Linked DNA regions of Oryzias latipes. The protein of the gene in region 2 interacts with the protein of the main gene of each other region in a biochemical or structural test. Links are inferred from orthologs where the notes say so. Each region holds a gene or a part of one and is shown on either strand. Other genes may lie near its edges.

Region 1 (6,222 bases), on a different chromosome or scaffold from region 2:
AGACTACAAATCACATTAAATAATTAAGAATGACTCTGAAAATGCAAAAATTATGAAAAAGTTGGTGTAGTATGGAATGGCTTGATAATTTGCAGGCAGAGAATGGTTTAGCAGCAGTGAAGCCCTTTTTTCCCCATCTTGCTTCAGTCTTGACTTCTTTGTGCCCGAACACTTATGTCCTCTAAAAACAGCTCATTGACGGATCTTCAAGCTGCGCTTCCTTTACGTTGAATTTAAAATGAAAGCCTTTAAGGTCATAAATGTTGGATGTTTTGCCTCAAGCTGTTGGAGCTGTGATTCTTGGCGTCTGTTTTTGAGCTTCAGTATGAATGTTCAAATACATGTTTTCTAAGTTGTGGTTTGAACAAAAGTTTATTTCTAAATTTAGTTGATTGGGTTAAAAAAACTGTGGCTTTTTGACTATTCTTTTTAAGACTTTGAAGTGTGGTTTGTTTGTTCATCAAAAGGGTTTTAAATGTTATTCCAGCTTTTTGCTAAATTCCTGTAACACTTTAAGGTTTGTTTATATGAAGTTGATCAGTTTTGTTAAAAAACCAGATGACTTAAAATTTTCCCAAATGTATACAAGTAAACATTTTAATTTTCTGTGTAGCTTCACAATTTACTCCCCACATCAACCCAGTTGTCTCTATTTTTCTCTCCGATGTCAGCTTTACTCTGAACACCAAAAATGTCACGGAGACCATCATTGCAGCAAGTGGTTCCAAATCATCAATTCACACTGAGGGCGTCAGATCTTTGGACCAACATGTTTAAAGATCCTCTCCCTGTGTTTTGCTGTCTTCATTCCCATTTGTTGGCATTATAAATAGATTTTATTTTATTTAAGATTCATCAAAGCTCTTAGTGCAACTACAGACATGAACGTTTATGATGCTGGCTAAATCGAACTCCAACCCAATAAGAGCAAGACAAACAGCTTTGTCAGAAGCACCAGTGACGTCAAAAGTTTAAACCGGCAGACTGATTCAAGGAGAAAACGATTTATTTGCATCTGATATGACGATGTTGTTACGGGCTGCTGCTTTGATGTGAATTTGGTTTGGTCTGAAGAGCCTGAAACAGCGTCACTACGTTCAGGTAAATGAAAGTGGAAAAACTGACCCCTGACTCCTACCTGTTGAAAATAGACGCTGGAGACAACTGCGCTGCTTGAAAAGTAAAAACGCCACTTAGAAGGTCATCGCAGTTATCGTGAAGAGTCGCAAGCAGGACCAGTCCACATTAGAATAAACTAGACTGCACAAACATAAATTGTGTAGATTGCTTCGTTTTTCGTCATTTAGCAAAAATAATTTTCCCAGTTTCCGTTGTTAATCTGAATTCTGAGTAACTTCTATCTGTGTTGGAAGAACTAAAGAAAGCATATCTACTTTTTAAAGTCAACGTAAATCAAATAGGGCTGCATGGTGGCGCAGTGGCCTAACACCAAGAAGGTTCAAGTCCCGGCTGGAGGATCTGTAACAGAATCACCAATGGGGGGACCTTTCTGTGTGGAGTTTGCATGTTCTCCCCGTGCATGAGTGGGTTTTTTCCGGGTACTCCGGCTTCCTCCCACTGTCCAAAAACATGCTTTATAGGTTAATTGGTCACTCTAAATTGTCCCTAGGTGTGAATATGAGTGTGCATGGGTGTGTGATTGTGGCGCTGCGACAGACTGGCGACCTGTCCAGGATGTCCCCTGCCTTGTTACGATAAACGCCGGCTGCCCCGTGACCCAGAAAGGGACCAAAACCGGTTCAGGAGATGACTGCATGACTGAATGAATGAAAGATTTCAGCTTTTTAAAGAAGCAGTCAACAAAAAACCAGATTGGACCAGATTTTTGGACATCCAAAAGTTAACCATCATACCTAAAGAAAAAAAATTGCTAATGCAGGAAAATTATTTATGATAAATCACAAGATTAAACCTTAGGTCACTTTGAATTGATGTTTTATCATAAATACACACGACCGGGCATTTTTTTTGCCAAACACAGTTCAATTCATTCCTTTTTTTGATGAATTCCGAATTTAACTGATCAACTAGTAAAACTGTGACACAAACTCAACTATCAGTTTGTGCCAAAGCGGCTTTTCTAGGAACCGCACAGAGCAGCAAAGGCTGCGGGAAGAGTCTGCAGGCCGAGATCACAGTAGAGGAAGAAAACGCAGACGTCACATGGAGAGATGCACCCAGCAGCAGCTGCCTTACTACTAATCACACATTAACATAAACCAGCCACCACAAGCTAACCAGGACATCTATTTGCGTTAGATTTTCCACACGTTCCCCGCCGCGAGTCTGAAAGGAGGACGCGTGAATTTCCCCACGCGGTGCAAAACCGACACCAGCAGCTACCTTTGCCTCTCCTTGCTCCCAGCTGACCGCGGAATTCGTATTGGAAGAGAAACCAGCGACAAAACTCTGCTAGCGTCGGGCTAGCTAGCCAGCCAGCTAGCTCCCATTGCTAACTGGAGTTAGCTAGCTAGCGAGCTGTGGTAACTTGCGTCATGGAGGAGCTGGTCGTGGAAGTCCGAGGAACGAGCGGGGCCTTTTACAAGGTAAACGGTTAACTTCTGCCGACCCTGGTCACGCCTGTGGCACCGTGAACTAACAGGGCGAACACGGAATGGCCCCACCGAGCAAGCCCGGAGATGCGTGTTTGTGCGCGCGGGCCTCCGTGGATGTACCTGTAATAAACAAAACTGACGCAGCGATGCTTCGCCAAACTCCCATCTAGCAGCTGACTTAACGACATTAATGTCGCTGCAGACCCCTGAGATCTGCGAAGCCGAGCTGCTTTTGCTCATATTTATCCAATTTATTCGGATGCAGGGATTATATTGGTCAAAAATGTTGTTTTGTTTGTGTCTGTGGGGCGTCTCTATTTAAAAAAAGTACCAAAGTGTTGCGTTCGGATGCTAATGTGTTGTGGGATTTGTTTAGACAAACAGAAACTGCTCATATAAGCAGGGATTGTCAGGTTTTCAAATAGTGGCCACTATTTCATTGATCCCATTGTAATGAAAACCAATAATCTGATTTCTTAAATTATCAGATTATTCAAGGACTAGCTTCCATCAGATAATAGTTGTCATTTGGTTTTTGAGAATTAAATACACGAAAGTCAAACCTAAATTCACCGAAATCCGATTTTATTCTTGCTTGGACACAATTCAATTAATTTTTGTTCGTTTACATCCAATAATGTGTAAAAACAGAATAGAAAAATGCGAATAAATGGTAGTCAAGGCAATTTCTCTATTCTGTAGGGCTTTTTTGTTGTTGTTGACCTAAATGTTTTGATTGGGAAACCGTAAAAACCATGCGGACGGCTGATTTTAACAAAATGAGAACAGATGTGGAAAAACACCCACAAAAAGTTAAAGTCGATAAAACATGTAAATCTATTTGGATCATCAGGTTCCCTAAACGCGTCAGAACGAATGGTTACAGCTTCCTAAACCCCTCCCAGTTCTCCCATTGTTGTGGTCATATAAACAGACTCATGTGTGTGTAGTAATCTGTACATCAACAATGGTATTTAGGGATGTGCCAATACAGACAACCGATATTTGCCGATACTTAAGTGTCCACAGAAACACAAAGTTTAGATTTTCTTTTTGTTTCTTTATTAGAAATGTACCACTTTTCTTTGACTGGACAATCACATTGCATTTGACCTTTTTAACATACAGCAAAGGATCCTAGAGGAACAAGTATCACTTTATAATTGTCATAAAAATATATCTGTAAGCATTCAGACCATTTACTGAATATTGGACATAACTGTCGGGGATCTAATAGGAACAACGTGTATCCCTATCAAAAATTACATTTACCTGAAAACAGTCAATTACTGACTATGACAGCAAACATAAGTTTTCCAATCTATTGGTAACAAACATTTAAAAAATAAAGTGTTTCTGAAAACAGTCAAGCGAATATCGGTAGATTTTTTATATCAGACCAATACTGAGAAACTCAAATTATGCAAATATCTGCAGATACTGGCACTGAGATCGCCCATCCCTAATGGTGTTCCCTAAAGTGACGAGCGGCGTGATCATCGGACCGTCAAACTGTTACGACCTTCTGGTTGAGCAACATTCTCTCTGATTTCAGCCTCATGAAAGTTCGGCAACAATTTAGTGATAGAAACGTTAAGTTTGGATGCAGCGGCTCGCACGACCTTGTGACAAAAAAAAAATCTACGTTTTTTTTTTAATAAGTCTTCCCCAGAAAGGAAACCACAAAAAAAGTTTGATTCAGCTCCTCTTAAATGCTTATATTTTTGTTAGATTTTATTTAAAGGTATCTGGGTGATTTAAAAGTATTTCTCTAGAATGTGTTGGAATATGTTTAATATCTGTGTTATTAGAAAAACGACTGGTCTCAATCATTAAATGTATGTATTCAGTTAAAGTAAATATCTAATGTATATGTACATATTTATGTTTTATACATGGAATCATCTTTTTCTTGTACAGATTTCTTCGGTACTTAAGGTTTATCATAGCTGTCTTTGTGGTAAAGAATTTTTTTTTCCCGTGGTGATAAACTGTATGTGAGCCATAAAGATGGTCAAAGGTGTTTATTTTTATTGCAGACACTTAGATATCTTATGTCTGAGGGTCTAAAGTGTTGTATGGAGCACACGGTGGCTGTCCCACCTGGGATTTGAACTCTCAGCTGACTGATCAGCAGGCAGCTGCTCAACCCGACGGGATCTTCAAATTCATTAACAGACATTTTAAAGTTTAATAATCCTAAAAATGATCAAATTTATGGAACGTTTTTATATCATAAAAACGTTTTAAAAGTATTCACTTTATTGAAACTTTGGAGGCTCGTCTGAACTTTTCCCCAGTTATGTGTTCTTGATCAACAGGTGATGAGGGAAGAGGGAATTCTGGGTAAAAAAAAAACATGAAATTGTGAATTGGTTCCCAGTGCTCTTTTAATTATGACTATGCAGTTTTTAGCCAAAATCAGAACATAGTTTCTGCGAAGTGGCAGAAGTTCATTAGAAATTCACCTCCGATTTGTGAGTGGGAGCAACCTCGCCCCCCTTCCTTCTCTGTTGATGAGAGGTCTCTGTTTACGCGCTTTCCTCCTTGCTAACAGGGCCTCACACCCCCAACTTAACATTAGCGGTGCGACAAAAATGGCGAGCAGTATTGGAGCTGTCCAGTCGTACAGTTCTGATCCAGATTCCAGCTCAGATGAGCTAAACACAGACGTACACGGATCTATTTGTCTGGAAGTGGATGCATCAGAATGGAGCTTGTGACCCGCCCAGCGGATTTTCTACGTCACAAATACAATCTTTTTCAAACAGCTTTTTTCGTCTGCTCCTGATTCAGTGATTTGGATAAAGAAACACTCAGAAATCCATTTTCAATGTCCTCCATTAGAAAAAAGCATCAACATCGTGTTAAAAACAGTTTCCATTGGAGTGGGTCTTTTCTGTGCCTATTTGTTAAAGTGGATTCAGTTGCAGTTATTTGAAATGCTCGTGTTGCTCGGTATTCAATGCTGTCAGCCCTGAAGGCGTCTATAAATCAGAATGATCATTTTCAAAGTACGAGCTTTGACTTGCCTATACAGATAAAAACGCGTCCTCGTTTAACCCTTTTTTCATGCCCTTGTGGTAGAAATGATTAGATGGGTGGAGTGAGCACTTAAACCGCCTTTTAGGTTTTGTTTAAGTCAGTTTTCACTCCCGTTCAATGATGAACTCGTCATGCCGAAGCCTCTGGGTCTAATCTTCATCCTCATGGAAGCAGACGACGATGCCCTGCATCTCAAAAAGTCTGGTTAAAATCATCAGGAAAAGAGAATTTTTTTCTCCAGTGGAGTTTTCCTTTCAACTCAAAGCTTAAACTTCCCTAAAGGAAAGTTTTGTTTTTTAAGGAGTCAAGTGTTTGATTCTTTCTCCTCCTCTACCTCCTGTAGGCCTTTGTGAAGGATGTTCACGAGGGATCAGTCACTGTGGCGTTTGAAAACAAGTGAGTCTCATCAGCTTTTGGAAAAGGACACGATAAGAAGCTTACGAGTCTTTAAAAACGCTCTCCTGCTTTTGTTCCAAGTTGGCAGCCAGAACGTCAGATCCCCTTCCAGGACGTCCGTTTTCCTCCTCCTGCAGGTTCTGGAAAGGAGATCAACGAAAGTGATGAGGTCGAGGTGAGATCCAGAAATCCATCAGAAGTCACC
Region 2 (6,243 bases):
TCTTCTCCCCTTCCCCGTCACTGACGTTTACTTTTTTATTGCCTGCAAACAGAATTTAAGTCAGTATATGCTGATATAATAGTCTATCAATGATTTCAAAAATATACAAAAGATGTTACACCAAAAGCAAACTCCAATGTGTAACTGAGCCTTACCCCTACACCTTAACCCTTGTGCCATCTTATAGGGTCCAGATGACCCCACCCTTAGATTGACATGGTATCCCTACCACGACAAAGGTGGATAAAGGTGGAGAGGATTTCATTTAATCCGTGGACACCAGTGAAGATCACAAATCATTGAAGAAAAAAAGGTTCAGCGAACTGTCTAGTGGGTCTAGATGACCCAACTCCCAATGTTACAGTGCCTAGGATAGCACAAGGGTTAAAGGCCCTGAAAAGGGGGTAGAAAATGCAATAAACCTGCAACTGTTTAATGCACAAAATATGAGTGAATACACTGTTAAAAATATAGACATTAGGAAATAACATTTCCAATGTGTAACCCTACCAGACTCACAGAAAAACGCAAGTTATAAGATGAAACTGTTCCTAGAAATAAAAAATAACTTCATATTTACACTAAAAATTCAAAATAAATCTTTGCTACTTTAGTTTTCTAGATTACAATTAAGTACAGACTTTGTTTTTTTACACCCTTTCATGCCCTTTGAATTTGAAAAGTCTGCAACACTTCTGCTTACACTTTCATATAAAAGAGAATTGGAAAACCCTTCAAACATGCGGGGTGATTCCATCTTTTCTTCTTACAGAGCTAAATTCACTCAGTTTTCTGGATTTTTTCCACAATGGTTTAGTCCACGACTTTTTTCATTTAAGTAAAAAGGCCTGACATTCAGTAAAGAATCAATACGCCAATGTTTACCTTATAATTAAAAACTGTGGCTTATGCATGACTTTGGTAAAAACAAACAGAACATTTTTAAGAGGCCAAGAGTGGAAAAACTCAACAACTTCCTTATGAGAAAATGTCAGGTCATCATTCTAAAACCACATTGATGATTTGGCTGAACAGATAATATAAAAATAATCAAAGCTATTTTTTGTTGTCGATGTTATAATTGTGAATTTAAAATTGAAAAAAAGACATAACCTAAACCAAAGTTGATAACTGTGAGAAACATCACAACCCTGCATCCAAGTGCACACCTGGATCATAACAACATTCTGAGAAAAGACTAAAGAAAAAAAAATTGAAAATCTTTAACTGCAAGAAACTAATAAAAAAAAAAAAATCTTGTAAGCCATAACGCGCATACACAAACACACGCGCACATATACAAATAATTGGTTTAAGAGCTTTTGATAAGCAGGTGTTCGCTTTATGAAGCTTTGCACAGTCAATGAGTCGGTCTCCAAGTTATCCCCTCTATACAAAAAATCATATGAGAATGCACTTATATACATTCTAAAGCTTTGCATTGTTTACTTCATAAAACCATTTTTAGTACTTTACATCAGCTAAACTACAACTAATATTCAGATCAAGAAAGAAAACATGGTATTTCCTCTTACTTTGTGTAGTTATTTAATTTACATTAGTGGCCGTTCACGTTAAATAACATTTCTACTAAATAATGGTAAATGCCGTATACTTATTTAGTGCTTTACAAGCTTTTTAGAAGGCCCAAAGCGCTTTACAGTCACAGTCCCATTCACCCATGCACACACACTGGCGCCAACCTTCCACCAGAGGTAAGGTGGGGTTCAGTGTCTTACCCAAGGACACCTTCCTGCAATCTTTTGATCAGAGGTCGACCCCCTTCCACTGTACCAAGGCAGCCCGTAATAATGACATGTTAATTTTGACATAAAACTAAACAAGTCTATTTTTAGGTTGATGTTGCCTTTATTTATACGTTTGGTTGGTAAAGGATATTCATGGTTAAAGCAGCAGAAAATGCTTTTTCAGATGACCTGCAAACATGTATGAATGGCACAAACGAATTACAAATATGACTCTGCAGCTATATTGTTACGCAATATCAATACATATTAGAAAACATGTTATTTTTAGGTCTCATCAACTTTACTCACTTGAGTTCTAAGTTAATTGGAATTAAACATAAATCAGTACTTTTTGGAGAAATCAATATAATTTTTTGTATCAAATTACCTATACTTGTAAGTTGAGGTGTAACAATTAATCAACATAACTGATTAATTGATTTCTACTTCTACGATCCAACCAGATTGATCTGTCTGAGACAGGTTGTCAACCAATCGACCTACAACAGTATAAAATCGTTTCAAAATGAGACAAATTAATTATAATCATTATCGGAATTTAGCATTTGCATCACAGCAGACAAAACACACGTGATGTAAGCAAAAAATGATCAGTCTATTATTCCAGTCCAATATGTGGAAACACTTTGAATTTAGCAAAGACATGCGACCATACAGTGTGCTAGAATGTTCTAAAAATGTTCCCTTTGGATTATTTTGATGTGGAGAAACAACAGTGGACTGAACTTTAGGAAATTAAGAGGTGAATGGATTTTACATTAATTCTTGTTTACTTGTTTGGTTGTACACACATTTAATTTACACTAGATTATCTTACAAGAAATACAAGGAATCTGGAAAACTTCACCTGCACTGTTCAGTACCAGGTATTTCTGAGTCACACTGGAGGAACTTTTGGCTAAAGATGTCCTGGATCCATTTTAGGTCAGTAAATCGTTTCAGATCAAATGAACCAATACAGACTATGAATTGTACTGGCAACCAGAAATTAGGATATGAATCGAATCATTACACCCAGATTCATGAGTATAATCTCATCCAGTTCACTTCCATGTTCAATAACAGGTTTTTGAAATTTCAGTTGATCATTCAGTACCAACATCTCGTATATACAGCTCGTTGTGAATAAAACTGATCTTGTTTTAATTAGTCACATCCTTGATATGCTGCAGTTGACGCTGATGTCATTGTCCCACATTGGACGTGTGTGATGACCTATGCTTATTGTGCTGTAATTACTTAAGCATGGGAACCGCGGTGCAAACGTGGGACTTTTCCCTTCACGGGATTTCTCCAGCCGAATGTTTGTGGACAAAACACGCGAGATTCCCCACACAGAATAAATCACTTTTGCTTTTTAGTAAACAGTGTTTTACAGCAGTCAGTTTTCTGAGCCAATTCTTCCACGCTCCACGGCTGCAAACACAGTCAGTCAGGCAGCATCTTGCGTGACTTCACAACACGCGATAGGCCTGTCAGACAGCTAATGCTAGCGGAATGTCAACCAACCAGTAGCTCGCTCAACACTAGCGCACTTTCAGACGACTCCCTGGTTCCGTTATTTTCAGTCCCCGGCGGCAATTAGAGAAAGCATGAACAAATAGAGATGGGCAATGTAGCTACTCGGAGAGCAAAAGCAGCATTAGCTTACAGTCCACGTCTAACATGGCCGACAGGAAATGGGAGCACAGAACATTCCAGCGGAGCCGGCTCGGTTTCCTAACTGGACTCGAAACCGATACACTACAGGAGGTTGAAGTTTGGAGGAAGACTAAGTTAGTCTCTACAGACACAGGGTGGCACAAATAAAGCTTTTATTAGAGGCGTTAGCTAAAATAAAATCGGAAAGCAAAGCCGGCGCACAAGGTCAATCCCTGATATGTCAAACCAACTGTCACGCAACGTCAGCTTTAAAAAAGCGTGAGTTTCTCGTGTGACAGAGGCCTAGCGTGGCTCTCCTCGAGCGAGCCACCGAACTGCCACGGCGGTTCTGAAAATATTCAACCGTGCAACCAACAATCAGCAGGATAAAGCTTCAATTGTGGGAACTTAGCGAGGGCTCGTGCGCTCGTTGACATTAGCCAACTGAAGCTAGCAACAAGCTGACTTTTCGGGACGGCCTAACCTGTTTTCTTCGCCTGCGTTTCCTGATGCTGGCACTGGATGTGGCTCTGATCATGTTTCAGACGAAGTGTGTGTTGAGTATAGTTTCTGTCCTCTCCGTGGTGATGGTTTTGCCTGTCTTGTGCCCGATCTTTGGGCTGTTCCTCCATTGAAGTGAAGAATGTCGGACTGGTTGAGGCGGTGTTAGCTCCCTCTTAGTGCCGAACAGTCCAATCACTACCAGAGTGAAACGGAAGCTATTTGAAGCCCGTGTAAACGTCAGCAGCAAATGTCTAAAAATGGCTCTGTTTTGGGTGGTCACCGCCACTTAAATCCACGTCCAGACCCTCTGTTGGCCATTGCAGATCATATTCAAGCGCCTTTGTCGATCAAATCTGCATTTTACTCTAGAATTAGAAGTTAGGAGAACAATAACCCCCCCTGTCAGGGTAGGAAATAACGGGGTGGGGTTCGTGCATGAGCCAAAAATCATATGACCCGAGGCGCTGCCACGTCTCCAGCCAGTGGACAACCTTTGATGGAGGGTCAGCCTTTAAATAAATGCTTTTTGTTTGTTTTAAGTCTTCTAACTGCTGTTTAATATACATACATACGATCAGATACATAAAATATTGGACTGTTTCAAATTTGTAGAATTGACAGTTGTTAAATCAAGAACTTAGTTCAAAGGGGTTTCGCCTCAATTAAACTCAATTCTCCTTTTCATTGTAATCATAAGATTTAAAACACGGGATTGCAGTTATAAATATCTAGAAACAATAATAGGATAGTTTCTTCATTTATGCTTTAAAAAATGAAAGAAAAAGTGTAATAAAAAATACTCGTAAATTTGTTAAGTTTTAGAGTTAATTGAAGCGCCTCACTTTTCAAAAAGTGGGAGAAGTCTGGAATCTTTGAACAGCTCACGCGTTTAGATAATCGTTGAAACAATGCCATCTAGTGGCCACGAGTGGAAGTCCTCAGATTATAATCTCTATTATGAAATTGGCTATAAATAAATATTTCAGATCAAAGCTTTGTCTATTTTTTAAGTTTGAGATTAAAATACATTACAAAAAATACAGCTTTAACATTACATAATTTATAAGCCACCATTAAGACAATTAATCATACAAAATATGTTTTAAATAGCTAATATTCACAAATGATGAAAGTTAAGAATCAAGCAACCTTTATTCACTTCTTCCCTTCTGTTCAGTTAAAGCACTCTCTTGATTCCAACACACTTTTACTGCTGATGTATGCAGTCCTGGCCCCCTTCCACTTGACAGCTACTTTTATATGAAATATTCATATCACTGCTTCATTTAACAGCAAGATTTATTTTTAAAAATGGAAGGTTTCCAGAGAACAGTACTCTCCAGGCACTTGGTTAAACATATCCTGGACACTATTTTTAAAATAAATATGTTGGCAGGTTTATGGCAACTTTTGCCACTTTTTTTCTTTTTTTAAATCAAATGATCCCTCAGATGATTTTTTATGGAGGAAAAGCAAAGACCTGTGCAATAATGGGATAAGAAAATTAATATTTGTTTAATAAAAGTTATTCACTCTAATTTACATTTGTATATCATTTCATCAAGAAAGAGTTGACCATATAGTTAATGTCTTATTTCTGACAAAAGTATTTGGTTTTCTTTTAGACACAATATGAGCACCCTTTCTGACAACTTGACAGAAAAAGTCAAGCTAAGTGCAGTATTTCAACAAAGAATCATGTGCCACGGCACAACCGAGTGAGCAATTTCATAAAGCCTATAGAAAATATGAAATTATGATTTGTAAAATTATTTTTCTTAACGAAATGAGGTGTGATGTGTAATAGAGGAGTTTCAGCTTAAATTAAATGAAAGGTGTACAAAACTGTGGTGACACCAGCCATGTTGTTTGGCCTACAGACAGATGCACTGAGGAAAAGACAGGAAGCAGAAATTGAGCGATGAAGATGCTGAGGTTCTCTTTGGGAGTGACCAGGACGGATAGGATCAGGATGAGGAAATCAGACAGACAGCACATGTTGGAGGTTTTGGTAATAAAGTCAGGGAGGCCAGACTGAGATGGTCCGGATGTGTCCAGAGGACAGACGGTGAATATATTGGTAGAAAGATGCTGAGTGTAGAGCTGCCAGGCAAAACGTCTAGTGGAAGACCAAAGAGGAAATTTATAGATGCATCCAAATAAGATGTGAAGGTAGCTGGTGGAGGACACAGAAGATAGGGTTAGATGGAGGAAGATGATTCACGGTGGCGATCCCTGAAGGGAAAAGCCAAAAGGAAAACAAGATTTCTCTTAGTGAAATTCCTTTTCTTTGCTTTTAGAACATTTTCATGTTCTAAAAATGTATTTT

The links. The genes of interacting proteins can lie anywhere in the genome.
Region 1: the proteins of nufip2 (region 2) and fmr1 form a complex in vitro, tested with the Homo sapiens proteins (2 studies listed by BioGRID and IntAct, with this or other methods). The link is inferred for Oryzias latipes from reciprocal best matches to the Homo sapiens genes NUFIP2 and FMR1.

The regions. Positions count from the first base shown.
Region 1 is NC_019868.2:25,367,000-25,373,221, forward strand, and holds the start of fmr1 (synaptic functional regulator FMR1), read left to right. Parts: upstream 1-2,115; 5' UTR 2,116-2,516; coding exon 2,517-2,567; intron 2,568-5,964; coding exon 5,965-6,017; intron 6,018-6,098; coding exon 6,099-6,222.
Region 2 is NC_019872.2:16,917,756-16,923,998, reverse strand, and holds the start of nufip2 (nuclear fragile X mental retardation-interacting protein 2), read right to left. Parts: upstream 4,359-6,243; 5' UTR 4,043-4,358; coding exon 3,895-4,042; intron 43-3,894; coding exon 1-42. UniProt on the Homo sapiens protein: Binds RNA.